Rattus norvegicus: one gene and its partners. The protein of the gene in region 1 binds, or shares a complex with, the protein of each later gene. Links are inferred from orthologs where the notes say so. Each region holds a gene or a part of one and is shown in the gene's direction. Other genes may lie near its edges. The genes, in order: Itgav, Tgfb1, Itgb8 and Itgb6.

Region 1 (3,566 bases):
GCACTGCTTGTCCTGCAGAGGACTTGAGTTCTAGTCTCAGCACCCACTTGGTGGCTCATGGCCATCTTAAATCTAGTTCTAAGGGATCCAGTGCCCCTTTCTGCCATCTGAGGGTGCCAGGCACACACATGGGACACAACCACAGAAGAAGGATGGGGACCCCTTTAACCCTAGCAGAATCAGGTGGACCTCTGAGAGTTTGAGGCTTGCCTGATCTACAGAAGAAGTTCCAGGACACCAGGGCTACACAGAGAAACCCTGTCTCAGAAAGACAAACCAACCTAATACCCAACCAAATAAAAAACACCCAAAGCGTAAAGTAGAAGACTGTGAGAATGATGACTGTGAGATAGGATTCGACCTTGTGTGTGAGGATGTTCTCTTCTTGCAGTTATGCAGATGTGTTTATTGGAGCCCCTCTGTTCATGGACCGAGGTTCTGATGGAAAACTCCAGGAGGTCGGCCAGGTCTCAGTGTCTCTACAGAGAGCGTCGGGAGACTTCCAGACTACAAAGCTGAACGGGTTTGAGGTTTTTGCCAGATTTGGAAGTGCCATAGCTCCTTTGGGAGACCTGGACCAGGATGGCTTCAATGGTAAGATCCAAGGGCCTTTCTGTGCCACCTGAGGAAGTCCTAAAATGTCGGGGATAGGAGCTCTTAGGTGCAAACCTCCTCCCCAGAAGGAGATGAGGGAGCACATCACTGACACCAAATTTAAAAATAGATTGCTGTTTTTTTTTCCTTTAAAATGAGCAAAAGAATTTTCAAAACTCGGCATTCATGAGCTAGAGTGCCAGACGATTAAATTCTGAGAGGAGCCCTCTGCATCCTGCTGCCTGGCAGCGCCCTCTACTGTCCCTTTGGTTCCAAGTGAAAAACTAGCTCCCAGGCCCATTGTCAAAGCAATAATGACTGAATGCCCACCTCAGGTGTGAGCTTCCACTGCTGTTTTTATAGTTGCAGCTTTATAGCAAAACCTTGGAGGGAGATCGCATGTCTTTTCGTGGGGACTTGTAAATGGCTTGTGCTCATTCTGTTTTAGTGGTCTTATATTCCAGTAGTTACAGATATCTTTAAAAAAAAGTTGACTTTTACTACACAGCTCTTTTCCAAAGCCTGAAATACAGATTAAAAATTAGATACATAAAGTATAGGTTTAAGATTTTTGTAAAGGAATAGTAAGGAGAGAAGAACTGTTGGTTTGTTTGTCTAACCAGCTATATATTTGGGTGTGCCCCGCACATGTAATAGAAAGCATTAAGAAGAGAGCTTGATAAATTCACTAGCACAGGAGACTCTGACTGGACAGTGGAAAGGACAGGCCTCCACTCCTGCCTTGTGGACAGCTGTGAGTCACAGGCCAGCTAGAATAACCGGAGAGGATTTCAGATTTAGTGAATACTAGTCCAAGGTATATTTTGTTTCCTAAAGTAGTCTTCAGCCTTTTGTTTTTTGTCATCAAAGAACACAGCATTCAACTGTAGAATAAAGCTCATGATAAGTTATGGAAAGACCACTGTGGGTCATTGCTTACTGATAATAAAACTGTATTTGATTTTTCTACCTTGTATATAATTATTGGGTCCCTGTCATTTTAGCTGGGCTCTGTCTCCCAGGCTTTCTGGAACAGCTAAGACACGTGCTGTTGCTTTGTTCCAGAGGTATTCCAGTCACCTTAAAGACATTTCCTGGGTATTGTCATCTTACTTTTCTTATGTTTGTTATGTTATTTGACAGCATGTATAAATAACAGCAAGAATCTTCGAAGATTTTTACAAAGAAGTTTTAGTGTTTGGAGATAAATACCTGAGGAGGTGTTGATGGTGTCTAGGAAACTGTGAATGGTAAATCTTTAATGGAAGATTACCTGAGCCATGTTTATATAAACATGCACTTTTGTCCTGCTAGTTCCAATCTAATTTTATTCAGCTCTGATAACAGTGAATGCCTGTTTCAGTCCTCCACCCCTCTTAGATATCAGCAAAAGGTGAATTAGTTACTTGTTGATGTTACCAGATATGAAGCAACTTAAGGGAGTGTCTTAGTTAGGCTTTTACTTCTGTGAAGCGGCACCATGACCAAGGCAACTCTTATAAGGACAACATTTAATTGGGGCTGGTTTACAGGTTCAGAGGTTCAGTTCATTATCATCAAGTTGTGAGCATGGCAGCATCCAGGCAGGCATGGTGCAGGAAGAGCTGAGAGTTCTACATCTTGATCTAAAGGCTGCTAGAAGTTTGGCTCTCACGTGGTTAGGACAGTATGGGATCAAGGGGTGGGTCTTAAAGCCCGTGACCACAGGCACACACCTATTCCAACAAGGCCACACCTACTCCAAAATGCCACATCTCCTAATAGTGCCACTGCCTTGGCCAAGTATATTTAAAACACTGCAGGGAAGGAGGGTTTTCCTTGGCTTACACTCTGAGAGCAGTAGAAGCAGAAGCATAATGTACCTGGTCTCTTGTGCCTACAGGCACGTTGCAGACACTGACAGGAAGTGAGGCCATATTATAAGGCTGCACAGCCTGCTTCCTCTCCCTGAAACACTAATCCACTTCCCCCAGCTAGGGTCCACCTCTGTGATGTCCCACAGCTCTCCAGGTCAGCACCACTAGCTGGAGACCAAGGGTTCAAGCTTGGGGATGAGGGACTTCACAGTCGAAGCACAACAAAATGGGTATGGAGAACAAAACAATAAGTCAGGTTTCATATTTTTATGTAGACTCGGGAAGTTTTTGTCATTTTGCCTAACAAAACAAAACAGAGGGAAGGGTTGAAACCTAAAGAGAATTAATGCAATCCAAGGAGAAGTAAGTGAGTTCATGACAGTGCAAGCCGCTCCAGACAGCAGCCGAGAGGGAGACAGTGACTGTGTATGCAATCCTGATGGGGTTAGCGAGAGACAGTTCATATTAAATAACCTCACAGACTACAGCCAGCATGATGGATGAGGTTAGAAAGAGATAGTAATCTCACAGACTAGAATCATCTTGTGGTGGGAAATTAATCAGTATTTTCTTTTTAAAAATTTATTTATCAATTTATTTATATGAATATGCCATAGCTGTCTTCAGAAACACCAGTAGAGAGCATCAGATCTCATTACAGATGGTTGTGAGCCACCATGTGGTTGCTGGGAATTGAACTCAGGACCTCTGGAAGAGCATTCAGGACTCTTAACCACTGAGCTATCTCTCCAACCCCAATCAGTTTCTTAATGCATATGTCAACTTGAATTATCTTTTTAAAACTTAGAAAGGGTTAAAGGAACTATTTTACATGATGCAAATACCTATTTTCAAAGGGTGACCTATTCTTAGAGCTTGTGGCTACAGATAGTCTCCTCAGTGCTGAAAATCAGAGGTAATTAAAGCTGCTGTGATGGTGCACACCTTTCCGTCAAGTGTTCTGGAGGGAGAGGTAAGCAGATCTCTGTGAATGTGCAGCCAGCCTGGTCTTCAAAGTTCCAGCCAGCCAAAGCTATATACCCTGTCTCAACCAAAGCAAAGCAAACCACCAAGAAACAAAGAGATTAATCACCAACACACATTCTTATCCAGGCA
Region 2 (3,566 bases), on another chromosome or scaffold:
GCAAGGCTTAGATGAGGGAAACCAAAGTGTTGTGGAAACCCAGGCAAGGTTAGGACCCAGGAGGGCTTCTGGGATGAGAGAAGACTGACTCATGGGATGTGTAGTTTAGCCACATGGAGGATGAGTCCGAGTGGGCTGGCACCAAGAGGAATGTGGAAAGCCCACTGGATGGAGGTCAAGAAGAATTTTGTGTGGTATACAGTAGGCGCTTAGTATCATTTATGTGTCCACTCAAGGAACATCTCCCTTGAACCAGTAAGATGGCTCAGCAGATAAAGGTGCCCACTGCTGAGATTAATGGCTTAGGTTCAAGCCCCAGGAACACCCAGGAAGTTGGAGGGAACCAACTTCTACAAATTGACCCCTGACCTCCCTGCATACCCTGGCACATGTGCACCCCCCTGAATAATGAGAAGAGGCCAGCTTAGGTTTGCACCGTGCCTTTGCCTCTGGCTCCCTGTGTGGCCCTGGCTAAGTCGCTTCCTCCTGGAGTGAAGGACTCTGAAGATCAGTGGAGTTTAGATCAGTGAGTGACTGGCGTCTGTGTTCGCTCTGAATGTCCTTCGACACCAACACTGCTCCTGGCCCTTGGCACCTAGATCATGATGATGTTTATCTTTGTGACCAAGGACCAGGCTTTACAGAGCAAGAAGATAGCAAGAACCCAGGGCAACATGCCTGATGGTACGAAAGCCTGCTAAACTCTGCGCTTGGGAGGCGAAGGCAAGAGGATCATGAGTTCAAGGTCTTAGCTCCATAGTGAGTTCGAGAATTTGAGGCCAGCTTGGGCTACGTGAGACCCTGTCTCCAAAGAAAAAGAGGGCCATGGAGAGGGGTCATGGGCGCAAGAGCTTCCATTTTGCAAGCACAAGGACCTGAATTCTCATCCCTGGCACTCATGTAAAAGTCCGACATTGGCGTAGTGTGTGCCTGTAACCCCAGCCTTGTTGGGGGTTCGGTGTATGTATGGAGACAGGCCAACTCATGACTCTGTGATCTGCCAATCTGGCCAAAGGGGTGGGCTCAAGTCCAGAGATCTGTCTGAGGCAATGAGGGAGAAAGGATTAGAGGAAGATGCTTGTCACCCAGGTATAAGCCTACCTGGTATAAAATGTACATTATACATGCATACATATACATATATACACATACATATCTACAGTTCCAAAAAATATAAAATGAAAGGAAATAAGGCAGGCACAGGATCCCTCCTCTGTTCATGTTGTTCTACTGAGAATAATCAAAGAAGTAAATACTCATGCAGAAATGTCAGAGCCCCTGCCCGCTATGGAGGAAAGGAATGGATGCCACATTTGGAGAGGGAAGTGTCTCCTCAGAGCCTTTCCCAAGGGGTTGACGTTTGAGCTGAGCCCTGAATAAAGGGGAGAAGGAACCAGCAACTTAAAGAGCGAAAAGTGTGGGGTGACTAGCAAGGAGGCCCCAGGGCTGGCAGCTTCCTGCCCCCTCTCCCTTCCCCCCATCAAGGCCTCACCAGTCACCTCAGACTCCTTTCCTCTCCTGCAGACGGAATACAGGGCTTTCGCTTCAGTGCTCACTGCTCTTGTGACAGCAAAGATAATGTACTCCACGTGGAAATCAATGGTGAGTTAACTTCCCAGCTCCTGCCGGACACAGACCCTGCATGTGCGTGCGTGCGTGCGTGCGTGCGTGCGTGCGTGTGTGTGTGTGTGTGTGAGAGAAATCTCACTCGCCCCTTGCTCACCCATCCATCCCTCCACAACATTCAAACCCAAACAGGGATCAGTCCCAAACGTCGAGGTGACCTGGGCACCATCCATGACATGAACCGACCCTTCCTGCTCCTCATGGCCACCCCCCTGGAAAGGGCTCAACACCTGCACAGCTCCAGGCACCGGAGAGCCCTGGATACCAACTACTGCTTCAGGTAAACTCTGTCTCTCTCGGAGGCTGCACAGGCTGGGGGCTTGACTGCAGCCTGTGGACTGGTGTGCCACCATTCATGCCTGGAGGGCTTGGGGACAAGTTCTTGGTTCTGTGGGCAGCTGAGAGTCTAGAATGTGGGGTGTTTTCTGGCTGGAGTGTTCAGGTTAGCACAAGAGTTAGAAGTCGGTTGGAAGGTTATCTTGTTGGGTTTTAAAATTCTTGCTAGGCTTCCACCACTTTGCAATGCTAATGAAAGAATTTACTGTGAGCAATTGAGAGTGCTGACCCTAGAAAGCGGGAGAGTTGAGATCCAAGCATTTGGGTTCAGAATCAGAAGGCGGTCTGCACTGGGTTCCCACACTCGAGGCAGATGGTGGTCTCCAATGCTGGTAGTTGGGAACGACAATTATTGGGGCTCAGAATGGCAGGGTCTGGCATGGAGATGTTAGCGTTCAGAGTGGAGGTGGAGAAAGCCAGAATGTGAGTCCCCTGAGGGTCAGGGCTTCATCTTGCAGTGGTGCACCCTGAGGAAGCTGGGAGGCGGAACTTCCTGAGATGTAGGCTTACAAGTGTGGAGTGTTGGAAGACAGCACTGAAGCAGGGAACTCTGAGGAGTCGGAGAGTGGGCATCCTAGAGTGTCCAGAATGGCCATCCCAAGGGCAAATGCTTTTTGGTCATTGTTTTTAAATTATATCTGTGTGTGCGTGTGTGTGTGCGTGCTTGCGTGTAGGGGCACCCATGCCATGACACTTGTGTGAAGGTCAGAGGACAACTGTTGGGAGTCCGTTCTCCTTCCACCGCGAGTGTCCCAGAGATAAGACTCAGGTTATCAGGTTTGGCAGTGAGCACCTTGACCCACTTTGTTTTGTTCAAGACAGGGCTTTGCTGTGTGACTGAGGCTACCCTCAGATTCACTCCTTTAGCCCAGGCTAGCTTGAATTCTCTGTCCTGGGATTACAGGTGTTACCCAACCACCCCATTTCAGACAGAATGGCAGACTCATACTAAGCCTCGGTAATGCGGATTGCGAGAAAGAAGTTGAAACACTAGATCCTAGGAGGTGTGAAATTCAGGAGAGTTGAGATGAGAGCAGTGAGCTACCTGTCCCTTCCCTGCTTCAGACTTTATAGAGTGCTGTGTTGTATGTCGGTCCTTGGCTGGAGCTGCTCCTCCCCCTCCCCCTCCTCCCCCTCCTCCTCCTCCTCCTCCTTCACCGTCCCTTTTTTTTTTTTTTTTTTTGGTTCTTTTTTTCGGAGCTGGGGACCGAATCCAGGGCCTTGTGCTTCATAGGCAAGCGCTCTACCACTGAGCTAAATCCCCAACCCCGCCTTCACCGTCCTTTTGCTGTTAGCCTTCACATAGGAACAGATGGAGGGGCTTCACACTGCAGGTTACTAAGAGATGAGAAAACTATGCAAGCTCTGTTCCCCGCATACTGGGAAACGAACTTAGGGAATCAGGAAAATCTCTTTGTCTGTCTGTCTGTCTGTCTGTCTGTCTGCCTGCCTGCCTGCCTGCCTGCCTGCCTCTCTCTCTACATTTGTTTTGTTTATGCCTGATGTATGTGTGGGCTCTGGGAATCCAAACCCAGGTCTTCATGCTTGCATAGCAAGCACTTGACTCACTGAGCCACGTCCTCTGCTGTGACAAGTCCCCAGTT
Region 3 (3,566 bases), on another chromosome or scaffold:
AGCCAGAAGAGGGATCAAGCCGCGTGCCCCGCTAAGGATTGGCTTAGCTGATTGGAGTAGACTAAGTCAGCCAAGGGACATCACAATCTGTCAGTACATAAGCTATGAGGGTCACTAACCTGATGGCAAGCAGCTGCAAAAGATCAAGTAGCACCACCTTTGGACACACATTTTGTATTCTGTCCCCATAATATCTTTAACAAGGAAGCATTGTACTATACTGGCATCTGCTGTTTCCATTTCAATGAGTTGAAATGGGTCTATCTTTGACCTTCTCAAAGTCTTTTGTCACCAATCACAACAATGGTCTCTCTTAAGTCCACCTAGTTGGAGAAGATCCCTTTCCCCCATTGCTGAAATCGTGCCTCATTTAATAGGCATGCTGGGTTAGCATTGATCATTCAAGCCAGAATCAGCCATGCCTGGCTGCTACTATGCTCATGGCCTTGGCACATCCTCTCTCTAGATGCTCTTTCAAAGGCAACTGTAGCATTCAGACCAGGTCCCTGAAGCGTGCAAAATGGGTGGAGAAACACATGCTTCAGTCCAGGAAGTGTTTTATGAATCTGGGGCGCTTGTGAGCTCTGTGGAATACCCACTATTGTGTAATCGTGTTCCTCAGAGGCTAGAGTAGACCTCAAACAAGCACAGAGCTTACAGATTTTTCCAATGAGAGTTTGCCAGAGATCTGGTACTAAAACAAAGGTCTAGCATGCTCCCTCTCCTAACACAGCTTTTCTTTCTTCATCCAGTGATTATTCGTTCGTGGAGGAACACATAATGAATTTGTGGAGGCAAACAGACTAGATTAGTAAAGTTAATTAGTAAAAAGTGAGATGTGAGATTTGGGTATTGTCCAAGATGCAACACTCCTACTTCTCGGAGTCATGATGTGTAATAATAATGAAATCTTGCACCAGGGTTTGGAGGAAATATTTATTTCCCTATTAGAGTAGTACTGAGTTAGTTTCTGCAGATGTTTACTTTATTTTCCATTACTGCTGAGCAATAAAGGAGGAGAAAGCATAAAAGGAAAAACACATGCTAAATGCTTCAGGCTGCTCAACACCCTTTTTAAATCATGTTTTCCACATAGCACTGAACTGTACATGCCACTATACCTCCCTCTGTCAGTGTTCTAAACAAACTTACATATAGGTAAGAGATTTTGACATAGAAAACTACAAAAAGTTGAAATATTTTAATTGTGAATATTCTCCAAAAAAGAGTTCACTGTTTTGAATAATCAGTAATAACAGCCTCTTCTTTTGAAAATAGAGACATAAATAAACCTGTTTTTATTATAGGAATATAAACTACATTTATTTGATAGAAAACTTTGATTAACTTTTTAAAACTTTTTTTTTAATCGATCAACTTGTTTCCTTTCTTGCAGAGTGTTTATCTGGCCCAAGCTATCTGCGAATATTTTTCATCATATTCATAGTGACATTCTTGATTGGGTTGCTTAAAGTTCTTATCATTAGACAAGTGATACTACAGTGGAATAGTAATAAAATAAAGTCCTCATCAGATTACAGAGTGTCTGCTTCCAAAAAGGTTGGTGAACTCAGAGGATAGCCATACGTTATTGTTCAGTTCTAATGCTCAGCTCCTTCACTAATCCCAATATTTCTTCTCCATCAAGGATAAACTGATTCTGCAAAGTGTTTGCACGAGAGCTGTAACCTACCGACGAGAAAAGCCTGAGGAAATAAAAATGGATATCAGCAAACTAAACGCCCAGGAGGCTTTCAGGTGCAACTTCTAAAGAACGATTAGCAAACGAGCAAAAACTGTTGGAAGCTGGATGTTTTTATACAATGTATTCTAGCAAATATGATATAAAAAGTCACAGGAGGAGACAAATTATTGAAGAGTGTGCCATGGAGACTGGCAGGTGTCTTCACAACTATGTGACTCACTCAGCTGCTGACATTTTCAGTGAACTATGTGTCTTACTACTGTTGGAGACTAGCGTTGTAGCACTTTACTGTAATATATAACTTATTTAGATCAGCGTAGAATGTAGATTGTCTGGAAAGCACTGATTACACTTTACAGGTACCTGTCAGCCCTGCGCTGCTCAGACAGACACAAGGCTATGGAGCGGGTTGCACGGTGTCACCACCGCAGAGCAGTGATCCTTGTGTGCAACCAGCTGATGAAAAGCATCCAGGAGTAGTGGAAACAGTCAACCACACCCAACAATTGGTATTGTCTAGATGTGCACACGCAGCTGAGCAAGGGTTAGGGTTTCATTTCAGTTGGAGGTGAACAGATAAACTTTAAATGGTGTTGCTTTTGAAGCTGTGCAGTTTTGTGCATGTAGGAGTCTGCTTTCTTCTCTTTTAAAAAATGGATTTTGACTCAAACATCTTTTCCCTTTTTTGCATTTAAATTCTGTTTTTTCCTTTGGAATAAGTTTATAATGTCACAAATGACTGGATTAAATAAGTGCTAAGTTACTACTGCCGTAGAAACCTATATGACAATGTCACTTTATTAGAATACTGTTTGGTTTTTAAAGCTGAATGTTAATAAGGGTCACTGTAAGGTGTCATCTAAGTCCATAGCTTCTTTGTCTGAAAATAGTTTATATTTTCTTACCTGTCAAACTGGATGGATTGTTTCACTCTGTCATTGATCTGGCCTGTAGCCTGAAGTCCACAGGTGTCTACAAAGCTGCTTCAAGCTGAGTACCCTCTTTTCTGAGTATGTTTTCTTGATTTTTACTCCAAGTTGATGTCAACAGTTTTCAAATGAAAAAGTTGTATTATTCTTGCCCTCCTGTGCACCCTAAGGGCACTCCTTGAATCATCCCAACCCTGCTCATGAGAATTCAGAAAGGTATAGAATTGGAGACGTGAGGGTAATGTCTTGGAAACAAGCTAATCCTCCCTTTTTGATAGCCAGGGAATGGAGGCTCAGAAAATTAAAATGCTTTTACAAAAACACAGAAGCAGAGAAATGACAGTATTCGAGAAGAGCTGCCTTCTAATTACAGGCCAGCATTGCACAATAATACTCTACCTCTTGAATCTGCAAAATATCCATGGCAAAAATTAAAATACGATTTACTGAATTTTTCACGAGAATATTTCAGAGCAAAGTAGAAAAGGGTACTGTGCGTAAGCAGCTTCTAGTTTTTCACATTACCCACCCTCTGATAAGGCTTTGATACAGTCCTTCCCTCCACAGTGGCTACAAGAACAAGCCTCCTAGAGCTGGGCATGGCTCAGCTTAAAGCCTTGATCCAGAGGCTCGGTACTTGAATTCTAAATTCCAACTGTCCTTTGTGTAGCAAGTGTCTCACCTGTGACAACAGAGGAATCTAAAGAGTGTCTCTCCTCAGTTTACTGCTCTCCAGCACTTGAAAGTTCTAGATATTAGCATGTTGAAGACAAGCCTCCATTAGGTATCACTCTGGGGCCTGGAAAGCCTGTCCATTATTCTCTATCCAGAAAACATGATGTGTCCCTTAGCAGAGCAGTAGTGATGCTCTTAACTGAGTGTTTCTTCTTCCTCAATGAGAACCGGGCATAGTCAAAATACTGTGACTGTGT
Region 4 (3,566 bases), about 24 Mb from region 1:
CATCTCTCCAGCCCCAGCCCCACCCCCAACTTTATTCTTTTGGGAAAGGCTGAGCAGAGCTGATAGCCATTCATACTGTGTTAGGAAGCATTCTGAGGCCCTGTGCAGCCACTGTATGCCTTTATTACGTCATGGGAAGTTGTGGTTTGCCAGACCCAGATTATAGCTATAAATCTGTATAGGTCTGATGGGCAGGTAACAAGTCGTATTTGAAAGTCAATTGCAGAAGAAGTGTAGCTTTCCTGGTCGGTGAAAATAGCAGCAATGGCTTAGAATCCTAAGGGGCAAGAAAAGCCATGAGCATTAGTCTGATTCTCAGTAGGCACCAAAATGGGCTTCCATGAGCACATCACACACACACACACACACACACACACACACACACACACACACACCACACACACACACACACACGCACACACACACCACACACCACACACACCACACACACCACACACACCACACACACACACACACACACCACACACACACACACACACACACACACACACACACACACCACACACACCACACACACCACACACACACACACACACACACACACCAGAGTCCAAGGACCTCAGGTCAATTCCGCTCAGACCAGCTTTGCCTGTCAGTAGCACCTGTTCTGTCCATGCCTTGGCCGCATCTCCCTGCTCTGGGTCCTGCAAGATCAGAGTGGCCACATCTCTGTTGAGCCGCCTTCTGCCTTCTCTATGGATGGACATGAAGGGCTGGGTCTTTCTGAAATCCCAGACAGAAGGCACACCTTTAAACCACCTTCTCTTTCAGCCTCTAAACATGGGTGGTGGAGGGGGCTCTAAAAGACCTTGAACTAGAATCCTTAAGACACTGAATTTAAAGTCCTTGAGAGGTCAGTTCGAGTGCAGGGATGCTGTAGCTGAAGGGAACACATCATCCAATAAAAGCAGCAGAGCGCCAGACAGGGAGATGTCAGGTGCTCTGTCCTTTAGGAATCCACAGGAAACATCTCTCTGGGTTTGTTGACAGACACACAAAGCTTCAACAGTCCTAGGCTAGTCCAGAAGCCAGCCATTCATTCGGAACAAATTCTCAGGAAAATATCAACTTTGGAGACTCAGACATTTAAAAGATCCACTCAGATTACTGAAGAAATTTTACGACATGGGTTTGGCGGGGGGGGGGGGGAGCCCAGGTTTATTCTTAAAAATTGCTGGGTAAATTCTCTGGTTATTCAGCTATCACAGAACTCCATCTGCCAATCGCCACCAGTGGCGTAGGGGATGTGATGTTCCTAGCATGTACTTATTCCTCTAAGCACAAACAAATTTAATGTCTGGAATTTTACAAAGAAATGATGACTTGTCTTCTTCTCACTGTTTCCCCCCTTTAGAATTTCACCCACCTGTCCGGAGCTGGCGAAAGGTGCGACACCCCCGAGAATCTTTTAGCCAAAGGATGTCAGTTACCCTTCATCGAAAACCCTGTCTCCCAAGTAGAAATACTTCAAAATAAGCCTCTCAGCGTAGGTCGACAGAAAAACAGTTCTGACATTGTTCAGATTGCTCCTCAAAGCTTGGTTCTTAAGTTGAGACCAGGTACGATGTGGTTGCCTAGTGCCGTGTCTGTGCCCTGCTCTCTGATAATCCCTCTGACTCCCCATCACATCATTGGTTGTTGGGAATTCTCACGTCCCAGTCTGAAGGAAATGGGGAATTACCTACCGACACATCTCTTCATTACATTCCAAATGTGTCACTGAAGACAGCTTCTCTGATGGTGACCATTCGAATTTCTCAAATGTTGACCATATTACTACATGTTTCTGCAAGGACTGAAATACAGATGTAATTTCCCCTTTATTTGAAAGGGTCACCTTTTCTAAAGCCACACACACACACACACACACACACACACACACACACACACACACACACATGGCAGCTTATCTTCCATCTAAATGGATGCTACTTCTCCCAAGGAGATATAAAATGTCCCAACATACACATCCTTCAGTGCTTCAAAACTCACTGTTGAGATTTGCATGGATGGGTTCGTTGACAAATGTTACCACACAGTTCATGAGATTACATGCATTTTTTTTTAGTTTTTTTAATTGGGTATTTTATGTATTTACACTTCAAATATTATCCCCTTTCCCCCCTTTCCCACTTCCCCTCCCCTCCCCCTGCTTCTATGAAGAGGCTCCCACTCCCACCCACCCACTCCCACCTCAACACCCTGGCATTCCCCTACATTGGGGAAACAAGCCTTCACAGGATCAAGGTCCTCTCCTCCTATTGATGCCAGACAAGGCCATCCTCTGCTACATATGCAGCTGGAGCCACAGGTCCCTCCATGTGTACTCTTTTGTTGGTGGTTTAGTCCCCAGAAGCTCTTGGGGGGGATGGGGTCTGGTTGGTTGATAATGTTGTTCTTCCTATGGGGTTGCAAACCCCTTCAGCTCCTTCAGTTCTTTCTCTAACTCCTCCAGTGGGGACTCCATGCAATGGTTGGCTAAGAGCATCCCCCTCTGTATTTGTCATGCTCTGGCAGAGCCTCTCAGCAGACATCCATATCAGGCTCCTGTCAGCAAGCATTTCTTGGCATCAGCAATAGTGACTGTGTTTGGTGGCTGATTGCATGCATCTTAATAAGGTCACACTGAAATAAAGTAGCCAGGTAGCTCAAGATTGGTTAGTTACAAAGAACTTCTGTGTTTAAGGATTTGCCTTTCTCACGGGACATTGCAGGGGGTGAGCAGACTCTGCAAGTGCAGGTCCGCCAGACGGAAGATTACCCAGTAGATCTGTATTACCTCATGGACCTCTCGGCCTCCATGGATGATGACCTCAACACAATCAAAGAGCTTGGCTCCCGGCTGGCCAAAGAGATGTCTAAATTAACCAGCAACTTTAGACTGGGCTTTGGCTCTTTTGTGGAAAAGCCCGTTTCTCCTTTTATGAAAACAACACCAGAGGAAATCACCAACCCTTGCAGGTAAGTGAGTGAACTCCCTGGTTTCCCTGAGCACTGCCTTCTATAGATGGAATCCACACAGCTGGGCTGCTGGGCTTGCAGCTTGTTAACACCCTGGCATTCTGCCTCGAGTTTGGATCTCAGCAATTCTCTGTGGCCTAGGTAGCTTCCAGCCAAGGTGAGGTCATCGTAACTCCATGATCTAGCCTGCAGACCCTGCATCACCTGCCAGGTTTTCGGGCCAGGATGGAGCCAACTATGTTTCCTGTTTGTGGACAAGGAGAGTTTGTCTTTCACTGTTGGCTACACAGGGCACATATACCAGTCCCTCAGGGATCTTCGGTTCCTAGTGACCATCACTTCCTAGGGTTATTTGACATTAACCTACATTTTTTTTCTGAGTATTTCTGTCAAAATAACAATTCTTGCACCTTCTTCTGACGCACTTTGGGAAATGTGGCTTTTGCTTGTCGCTGAGAGCAGCAGCCTTCACTGCAATTAAATTCAACAGGAAATGGGGCGGTGCCTCTATTATAATATGCTATAATCAGTCACCAAAAACATGTATTATGCAGGTACTAGTCAAGGGTGAATTGCCTTGCGAT

Evidence for each region.
Region 2: the proteins of Itgav (region 1) and Tgfb1 are in contact, whole or in part, in a crystal structure (PDB 5FFO), measured with the Homo sapiens proteins. The link is inferred for Rattus norvegicus from reciprocal best matches to the Homo sapiens genes ITGAV and TGFB1. Residues at the interface, in NP_002201.2 of Homo sapiens: Asp178, Asp180, Phe207, Tyr208, Gln210, Ala245, Asp248; in NP_000651.3 of Homo sapiens: Gly242, Arg243, Arg244, Gly245.
Region 3: the proteins of Itgav (region 1) and Itgb8 are in contact, whole or in part, in a cryo-EM structure (PDB 8TCF), measured with the Homo sapiens proteins. The link is inferred for Rattus norvegicus from reciprocal best matches to the Homo sapiens genes ITGAV and ITGB8. Residues at the interface, in NP_002201.2 of Homo sapiens: Tyr48, Phe51, Trp123, Leu141, His143, Gln150, Glu151, Arg152, Pro154, Phe184, Gln186, Phe189, Pro204, Trp209, Asp249, Tyr251, Tyr254, Arg275, Arg278, Thr279, Gln301, Met302, Ala303, Tyr305, Phe308, Pro328, Leu329, Met331, Ser335, Asp336; in NP_002205.1 of Homo sapiens: Ser197, Pro198, Ile202, His203, Pro204, Arg206, Ile250, Asp251, Thr252, Pro253, Thr287, Ser288, His289, Leu290, Ala291, Leu292, Asp293, Lys295, Leu296, Gly298, Val300, Pro302, Glu321, Ser324, Leu325, Gly326, Gln327, Glu330, His349, Trp350.
Region 4: the proteins of Itgav (region 1) and Itgb6 are in contact, whole or in part, in a crystal structure (PDB 9CZA), measured with the Homo sapiens proteins. The link is inferred for Rattus norvegicus from reciprocal best matches to the Homo sapiens genes ITGAV and ITGB6. Residues at the interface, in NP_002201.2 of Homo sapiens: Tyr48, Phe51, Lys72, Trp123, Leu141, His143, Gln150, Glu151, Arg152, Pro154, Asp178, Ala179, Phe184, Gln186, Phe189, Pro204, Tyr208, Trp209, Asp249, Tyr251, Tyr254, Pro274, Arg275, Arg278, Thr279, Met302, Ala303, Tyr305, Phe308, Pro328; in NP_000879.2 of Homo sapiens: Ser183, Pro184, Phe185, Lys187, Thr188, Thr189, Pro190, Ile236, Asp237, Thr238, Pro239, Asp273, Ser274, His275, Phe276, Gly277, Met278, Asp279, Lys281, Leu282, Ala283, Gly284, Val286, Pro288, Glu308, Thr311, Ile312, Gly313, Gln314, Ile316.

Annotation. Positions count from the first base shown.
Region 1 is NC_086021.1:89,283,355-89,286,920, forward strand, and holds part of Itgav (integrin alpha-V isoform 1 precursor), read left to right. Parts: intron 1-391; coding exon 392-594; intron 595-3,566.
Region 2 is NC_086019.1:90,330,791-90,334,356, forward strand, and holds part of Tgfb1 (transforming growth factor beta-1 proprotein precursor), read left to right. Parts: intron 1-1,524; coding exon 1,525-1,602; intron 1,603-1,758; coding exon 1,759-1,906; intron 1,907-3,566. UniProt on the Homo sapiens protein: Transforming growth factor beta-1 proprotein: Precursor of the Latency-associated peptide (LAP) and Transforming growth factor beta-1 (TGF-beta-1) chains, which constitute the regulatory and active subunit of TGF-beta-1, respectively.
Region 3 is NC_086024.1:146,271,209-146,274,774, reverse strand, and holds part of Itgb8 (integrin beta-8 precursor), read left to right. Parts: intron 1-1,396; coding exon 1,397-1,560; intron 1,561-1,648; coding exon 1,649-1,771; 3' UTR 1,772-3,566. UniProt on the Homo sapiens protein: Integrin alpha-V:beta-8 (ITGAV:ITGB8) is a receptor for fibronectin. It recognizes the sequence R-G-D in its ligands.
Region 4 is NC_086021.1:65,523,780-65,527,345, reverse strand, and holds part of Itgb6 (integrin beta-6 precursor), read left to right. Parts: intron 1-1,375; coding exon 1,376-1,580; intron 1,581-2,735; coding exon 2,736-2,982; intron 2,983-3,566. UniProt on the Homo sapiens protein: Integrin alpha-V:beta-6 (ITGAV:ITGB6) is a receptor for fibronectin and cytotactin. It recognizes the sequence R-G-D in its ligands. Internalization of integrin alpha-V/beta-6 via clathrin-mediated endocytosis promotes carcinoma cell invasion.